Linked DNA regions of Mus musculus. The protein of the gene in region 2 interacts with the protein of the main gene of each other region in a pairwise test. Links are inferred from orthologs where the notes say so. Each region holds a gene or a part of one and is shown on either strand. Other genes may lie near its edges.

Region 1 (4,427 bases), on a different chromosome or scaffold from region 2:
GAAGATCTGGGAACCCATGCAAGTTCAAGCCAGTCTACCCAAGGAGACCTTATTTTATGCGTATGGGCGTTTTCCCTGCATGCATATGTGCGCTATGTGTGCACCAGATGCCTAGAGAGGTCAGAAGAAGGCGCTGTATCTGGGGGGGTGGGGGTGGGAAGAAGAAGATAGAAATGAAGGAATGGAAAAAGAAAAAACCCCTGATCAACCTGGTGTAGACCAGCATTCCTGTCAGAACAGGATGAAACCTGAAGGCTGCAGCTGACTTAATTGAGGTCATAGAAGACCTGGAGAAAGAGTCAATAGTATAGGGGACGAGGGACAAAGAGGGAAACGTGATGGAGACAGAAGCATAGCAGATAGCTAAAGAGGGTGGTTTTGTTTTTTTGGTTTTTTTTTTTCTTCAGTTTTTCGAGACACGGTTTCTCTGTGTAGCCTTGGCTGTCCTGGAACTCACTACATAGATCAGTCAGTCTGGCCTTGAACTCAGAGACCCACCTGAAGAGGATTTCTTCAAGGATGACAACTCCCATAAGAATTTATGTACTTGGGACAATGATGGGGAAGAGGGGGTGTGATGATGGGGGGGCTGGGCAAGGGGAGGCTGTGCACCTCTCTACTGACTCAAACATTCAGGAGAGCTCAGCTTTTCCTTCTGCCCACCCTTGGCTAAGACCGAGGCTAAAGCAGGGGCTCTGAGAACACTCCGTGGCAGCCCCTTCCATCCCAACCGCATTGGAAGAACTGTGTACTCTGGACTGGGGTTAAATGGGAAACAATCCATTCCAATAGTGGTTCTGGGGGCTCTGGGTGGAAGTCCCATGGCTGTGGACTCTACTTACACCGTCAGACAACAAGTGGCGCTAAGCCCGCCCCCGTTGGCTCTTACTATGTATGTATTTACTTGTTTGTTATATCCTGCAAGCCTTTGGTTGGGTTTGGTGTTGAGGACTGAAACAAGGGCCTCCAGAGAGCTTAGCTACTGAGCTCCACCACTAAGCTACATCCCGAACACCAGGAAGCCTAACTTGAAACTACCCTATCTCGCTTCTCCAGTTCCTAGAGAATCTGAAATCTGATGATGCTGACAATATTGACCTCTAACAGTATCCCTAACAGAAAAGTGTTACCATGCCATTTTCCTCTACAAGAGAATACGGTGAGAGATCAATCAACTCTGGGGTTTCAAACGGATGCTTTCCTCCACTCCGCCAGTGGGAGGCGCAAGGGGCTTGGGCGAGAGCCTGAAGCGGGGCACAGGCTGGGCAGCGACCCGACTGGCGAGGGTAAGTGCCCGATCTCACCTTCCCTCTCCTGGAGACTCAGGGTTTTTTGACTGGGTGGGGCCTCCCACCGACCCCGGGATGTCCACTCGTTTGGCCTGGGGAGGGCGTGGCCTAGGGCTCCGCCCCCTTCCGCGGGCTCAAAAGGCGCGGCGTCCGCGGAGGCGGGGTCAGAGCGCAGCGGCGGATCCCATCGCTGCTCCCGGAGGCTGCCAGGCAGCGGCCCAGGCGGGCACTCAGGTACCGGCGTCCGCGAGGGGGTTCCTGGCCTGCACCCTACGGGGTCCTATGGCCCGCTGAGGCGCTGGGGAGGGCGTGGGTGGTCGTGAAGAGTGCCAGATTCCCTCGGCTGGCTTCGGCCGCAGCCTCCGCCCCCGCCTTCCTGCGGCGAAGTGGGGCTGATTGGCGCCTGCGCCACTGTGTGCGGTGGGGACGCGGCCAAGCGCGGGGCTGGGGCGGGAGACGAAGGGAAACAGAGTCATGTTGGCAAGGGAGCATCGTGCGTGGGTGGCACCACTTTCTCTGGCTTCCAGAAAGGATCCCCTCTCTGGCCGTGCGTAAGGGACACGGCCCCCGTCGCTCTCTACAGGACCAGTACCCCGTTTTTCTTTTCCCCTTTCAGAGACCAGGGGTCCCGCCCTGACCACCAGCAGCCTCGACCTGTCCCAAAATGGCTAGGACCCGCTCCAGCGTCCTCCTTCTCCACCCCTCCCCCTCATATCCCGAGCCCCTAACGTGCTCCCTCCTCGGGCTCTCTACAGTGTCAGCTTACACGCCTTATATAGTCCGAGCAGGCTCCGGCGGCGGCCTGCCTGCCGGGACCCGGGGAAGGAGGGGGAGCTGGCCCCTGACTCACCCCGCCACCCTCCTGAGATTCCAGGTTAGCTTGGGCAAAGCAGTGCCAATTAGCCCCACAGCCAACCCCTGGAAGAGAAAAGCACCTGAGCTCGGAGAGGCCTCTCCAGGCCCTCCCGGTGGCAGGGGGCAGGGTGGGGAACCACCTTGTCTGTTGTCTGTGAGAGGTCGGCCTGCCAGGAGCCCAGCCAAGCCAGCTGAGATACCTGCCTCCCAGTGCCTGTGTGTGTTGAGCGTCCGCCCGTGCCTTCTTGGTGCCTGGCCAACGCTAGTGCCCAGATCTGGACCTGCCTGCCAATTTGCATTGCAGACACTTTCTCTTCTTCCTCACAGGAGCAGGCACGATGGATTCCTTCAAGGTGGTGCTGGAAGGGCCAGCCCCTTGGGGCTTCCGTCTGCAAGGGGGCAAGGACTTCAATGTGCCCCTCTCTATCTCTCGGGTGAGCCTAGGTGGGGGAACAAACTCCCCAAGGGTTCTTGGGTGCTCAGGTTTCCAGAGGATCATGGGAGGAAACAGCAGGAGCAAGCCAGGACCAATAAGGCAGGAGTATCCAGGTCCAAATGGACACTTAACTACCAGGACTCCCAACTAGGTGGAGAGTAGAGAGGCACTCCCAACTTCCCTACTTTGACATGGTATTTGATGCTCTCCCACCAAGCCATCTGTGAGTGACAAGGGGGAGCCTGTTCCTTCGGTATTGGAGGCTGATGTCTCCAAGAAGTATCTTACTTAGCTAGGAGAGCAGCCTGTGGAGCCAGGTCCCCAGCAGGATGTAACTTTAATTCCAGTTATTCAAGGAATAGCAGTTGTCATCCTGTTTCCCCAAGTGACAGAGCTTGGTGGGCTGGAGGAGCCCATTCAGTAAGTCCACTGCAGAGCAAGGGTTTGAACTGAGGCACAAAAACGGCTTGTACTCTCTGTACGGTCAAGGCCAACGGGGAACTCTTCCCGCCCTGTGTGAGGACTGAGTCCCAGTCAGCTGGCTCTAGTCAGGCTGTGTGGCCTTTGACCCCAAGCCTAGGTGTAGTGAGGCTGGCCTGTAGAATTCCTGTTCCCATTCCTCAGTCCACCCTGGTGAGGAGGGTGGAGCTGGGAACTGACTCCTCCCTGAGGCAGGGGGATTACCTTATAAGCCCAAGAATGCGGGCCCCAGTTGGGATGGCCAGCAGTGGCTAGTCAACAGAGCCCAAGAGGGCTGGCCTAAGTCTAGGCCCCTTACCTGGCCCTCAGTCATTGGTGTCAGTAGGACTCAAAGCAAACTTTGTGCCCAGCCTTCCAGCTTGGTATCTCTGACTGGCCTAGGGGGTCAAAAAGGGGGCAGGGACTTCCTTCCCTGATATCCGCCTGCCTAGAGAGGCCCACCCAGCCACTGTGTAGGCAGGCAGCTGCTGGCAGGAAGCCCAGGGCAAGCCCAGCCCAAAGGGGCCTGAGAATTTCCAGGCACTGCCCAGCCTGAGTAGGGTATCAAGGCTGGTTCTCTCTGTGGGAGCCAGACATGGTGGACAGGGCAGGCAGGCATGCATGCTGTGTTCTTCCCAGAATCCTTCTCTGGAATTGCTTTGGAATCTGCTCCAACCAGCAGGATGACTAAGGGCTATCTAGACCCTTCCCCCACGCGTACATCCTACGGGTTTCTTCCTCCCCTCTGGGAAAGTGCTGGCCAGTGTAGTGTAGGTCTTAAGTTTTCTTCATTGGTAAGGAAGGCCCTGCAGATGTTGCCTTTTGGGGGCACTCTGCTGGCCCCTGCTGGCCCCTGGCCTCCTTTGTCAGCAGCTTTAACCTGTGGGTGGGGCCACCCGCTGAGTCCTGCCCTGGAGTGAGTTAGGCCCTGATGGGTGGGGTGGTCTTTTCTAAATTGGGCCAGCCCGCTATCCCTCCCCTGACCCCAGAGTGGAGGGAGGAAGGAGGGGCTAGGGCTGGCTGTGGGCCCAGGCCTGGAAGATGAGGTAATGTCTGGGATTTGGGGGTTGGGCTGCTCAGTGGAGCTCCCAGGCTGACTCACCCACACCCATAACACTGTCCAGTCCCCTGGCTTTTCCCCTCCTTAATCTCACTAGCCTCTCTTTCCCTGTGGTGCTCTGACCACCAGCTTAGCCCTCACATTTTGAGTACCCCACGAGAGAAGTGGTCCCTCATGTCTCCACCCCTTTTCAGGGAGCCAGTGGCTCCTCCTCCCAGGACCCCCCACCTTGGTCTTGCCCCACACCTCTCAGGAAGCAGCCTGTATAGGAAGGAGTGGCTAACCCAGGTCTCCATGTGCTGACTCACCATGCCTGTGACTAGGTCAT
Region 2 (3,802 bases):
GTCTCCCCTCCCTGGAAACCAAAGTTCCTCATCTCTAGGAAGAATGTGTCAGTGAAGACAGCCACTAGAACCACTGCTTACTGAGATCTGACCTGTGAGGGCGCCATTGTTAGCAAGCATTTAACCCAGGTAAGGAACAAGCACGTGGGGGTTAATGTCCAATGCCGCAGAGCTGGTGGAAGTGGAATTCAAATTGTTAGCTTCAATTTTGGCTTCAAGATCTACACGCTAGTAATCACTTCTCTATATAAAGTATACCAGAAGAGCCTTGTTGAAAACCTTATGAAACATGACCAGAATGTCGGGCAAACATACCCTGCTGCTGTCACTCAAGAGGACTTGTTTCCCCAAGAAGAGGAGGCCGCTGCCCTGTCATGACCCACATTTCCTGACTGTGTCTCTTCTGATGGGCTCACTGCCTACCCAGCCACACACACAATGTGCTACAGCTCATGCCCCAACAAGCAATGGTGACAAGAGCTGAAGTCAATGCCTAGCATGCACGAGACCCTGGGTTTGATCCAGCACCGAGAAAAACTAAAGAAGGGAAAGGGAGGGGAGGGGAAGATTGGAGATGAGAAACGCAGTGGCACACATTTGAAAAAATATAAGACTGCTGCTTAAAATCCTTATACTAGTAAGTAGTAAGATTTCATGAATTGATTTTTTTCAGAAAAAAAATGAATTAATAAAACTGACTTAAGATGAATCAGGAAAGTTGAATAAACCAATAATTGCAGGGGGACATGCAGACTAAAGAAGTCATCAAAGAATTATTCAAATGAAGAAGCCAGGCCTTATTGGTTTTATGGCTGGGCTCTTTCCTGCACTTCTGGAACAGAAAATTCCCATGTTGCCATCTGTTACCAGGGTTGGAAACTGCTTCATTCACTTTAGAAAATTAGCCTCAAAGCCAGACACTGGGAGCTCATGCCTCTAACACCAGCTCTCGGGGGACTGGGGCGAAGGGACTGCTGCAATCCTAAGACCAGCCCGGGTTACAGAATAAGTTGAGTCTCAGTGCAAAACCTTGTTTTAAAAAACAATTAATAAAAATAATTTTTAAAATACTTTAGCTTAGCCGGGTGTGGTGGCGCACGCCTTTAATCCCAGCACTCGGGAGGCAGAGGCAGGCGGATTTCTGAGTTCGAGGCCAGCCTGGTCTACAAAGTGAGTTCCAGGACAGCCAGGGCTACACAGAGAAACCCTGTCTCGAAAAACAAAAAACAAAAAACAAAACAAAACAAAAAAAAACCACTTAGCTTTTAAAACAAACAAACAAACAAAACCAGAACACAACCATAGTGTTACAAGAATATTACGGGAAATTCCTAAACAGACTGTTAATAAGGGAATCAAACGAACATAGCTACAACGACTAGGCAGGGGAGGCAGAAACAGGAGGATCACGGGGGCCTGCTGGCCCACAGCCTAACATCCTTGGTGAGCTCTAGGTCTCAAAACAAAAACACAGATGATGGCACCTGAGAAATGACACTTGTGATTGACCTCTGGTGACCACAAGTATTCATACACATGAGCACACACATACATTCACACATACATAAAAAAACACCAACTCGAGCCGGGCGTGGTGGCGCACACCTTTAATTCCAGCACTTGGGAGGCAGAGACGGGTGGATTTCTGAGTTCGAGGCCAACCTGGTCTACAGAGTGCGTTCCAGGACAGCCAGGACTACACAGAGAAACCCTGTCTCGAAAAACAAAAACAAAACAAAACAAAACAAAACAAAACAAAACAAAACAAAACAAAAACACCAACTCAAATGACAAAACAACTAAGACAGAGGCATGTCCCTGGTTCTAAACAATCCTCCACCATGCTGCTCTATGTCCAGCGGAAAGGACCAGAGCATAGGAGGAGCTAACCTTCCCAGGCAGCCCAGCAAGAAGGATGGGCTCCGAAGGAAAAGCCTCAAGCTGTACCTAAGCTTCAACACTCCCCACCCCGGGTCTCACTTAGGCTAAGTCCATTTTCAAAAAATATTTCTACACAGTAGGAGAAAAAGGAGCCTTTCTTTCCACAGCAGTTGGCTGCCACATATGGTACTGCTCTGAATAGAGGCTTTATGAGGAAGGGTCTACAGCCCGCAGGCGTGGGCTATGCCACTGGCCACAAACAGCAAGGAACAGGCCTCAGGATTTATATGTCCGGCCAGCAGAGGTGCCTGAGATAATTCAGATGGAGCTGCTGTCACATCCCTAGGAGACACAGGGCGCCTTCTGTATTCCTATCCCAAACCCAGAACTCACACTCACATGCACACAGCTCCTTTGTTCTGTTCTGGGGCTCAGACAAGAAAAGCACTGATTTCAGCTGGAGGTATGTCTCCTGAGTGAGAGAGTGGGTAGGATAGCCTCCCTCCCTGAAGAAGAACTAGGGGACACGGTCCTGCATCCTACAGCCCTGGACCAAGCATGCTGAAGTTAGCCTTCCTTAAACTCCACAGATGGTCTCTAAGGGGCAGAGGCACTGTGGCCAAGCCCAGGACTGGTTGCATACCCTCCCTGACTAGAGGTGAATCATACATACTTTTGCCGCCATTGTTCTTCAGGACATTGGAGAGGTTGACAGAGGCAGTGCCCAGTAGTTCATTCCTCAAGGTATGACAGCTCCAGACCTTCAGATCCAAATGACTCTGGGCTGTGACATTCCTGGAAAACAAGTAAGTGACTCATCACAGCCTCGCCGGGGAGCAGCTACCCCTCTAACATGAACAGGCTGCTGAAAGCTACCCTGCTGATATCTTACAGGGGACAAAACAGGAAGACAGTCACATACACACCTCACACGCTGACCTGTAACCCCTAGCTAATAATGAGTGTCTGTGAGCTCAATGACATACAGACACCTAAAGAGGAGCACCATGGGGGCCAAGGGCAGCAGAGTCTGCACCCCAGCCCCCCCTCCCCACCTCCTGCATTCCACCAGTGACAGCCTTACAGAACGATGATTTCATTCCAGAGCAGTTCAGAGCTCCCGATGCGCTTCCCCGTCTTCTTGGTCTCGCTGGGGAGTCCATCCACTGCCACCTCCACGTAGGAGTTGATTCTGGGCTGGCGGTTGTGCACCTTGGGCTTTGCTGACACCACTGGATGGCACAGAAAGGATAGGCAGATGAGTTAAAGGGTCCCATGCGCCCCTTGGGGCAGGTGCTCCTTTTGGTTATTTCCCTTTGAAAAGATTTTTTTTTTTTTTTTTTTTTTTTGGTTTGGTTTGGTTTGGTTTGTCCTCTTTTAAAAAAAAAAATTAAAACTTTTGAAAACTGACATGGTGATAGCTCGTGCCTGAGGAATGACACCCAAGGTTGACCACTGACCAAAATATCATGTGCACACAAACACATACGTACAAAATGAATGTTTTTGAACAAGAAATAAAAAGGGGTATAAACTAAACAAAGAAGCAAAAAAAGCATGTGTGTACAAGAGTCTGAACTATGAAGGGAGAAAGATCGCTCCCAACCCAAAAGCACATGAGATAGCAAAGTGCTTTGCTCACTGGCCTGTTCCCCAGTCCCCCAAATCAACTTTTAAATGACTGTCACAAAGTCCGCTGCACGGCTCTGCTAACTTTTTACACTGCTGAGATGACGGCTTATAGTCCTTTGCTCTGGGACAGTCAGCACAAGCGGGGCTCCTCAGAGCAGCTGAGCCTCCTTTAAGGTTTGGGAGCGTCGTCTTCGGGGTTCTGGACACCCTCGGGGACTCCCTGCACTGCCTCTGAGCATCTCCATTTGGCCACACTGCAAAGTGCAGTGCTGCTTCCTCACTTTTGGCA

The links.
Region 1: the proteins of Wwp2 (region 2) and Pdlim7 interact in binary tests that used the Homo sapiens proteins (3 or more experiments, as listed by UniProt). The link is inferred for Mus musculus from reciprocal best matches to the Homo sapiens genes WWP2 and PDLIM7.

Annotation. Positions count from the first base shown.
Region 1 is NC_000079.6:55,510,463-55,514,889, reverse strand, and holds the start of Pdlim7 (PDZ and LIM domain protein 7), read left to right. Parts: upstream 1-1,443; 5' UTR 1,444-1,523; intron 1,524-2,471; 5' UTR 2,472-2,482; coding exon 2,483-2,578; intron 2,579-4,427. UniProt on the Homo sapiens protein: May function as a scaffold on which the coordinated assembly of proteins can occur. May play a role as an adapter that, via its PDZ domain, localizes LIM-binding proteins to actin filaments of both skeletal muscle and nonmuscle tissues.
Region 2 is NC_000074.6:107,456,754-107,460,555, reverse strand, and holds part of Wwp2 (NEDD4-like E3 ubiquitin-protein ligase WWP2), read right to left. Parts: intron 3,114-3,802; coding exon 2,966-3,113; intron 2,677-2,965; coding exon 2,555-2,676; intron 1-2,554. UniProt on the Homo sapiens protein: E3 ubiquitin-protein ligase which accepts ubiquitin from an E2 ubiquitin-conjugating enzyme in the form of a thioester and then directly transfers the ubiquitin to targeted substrates.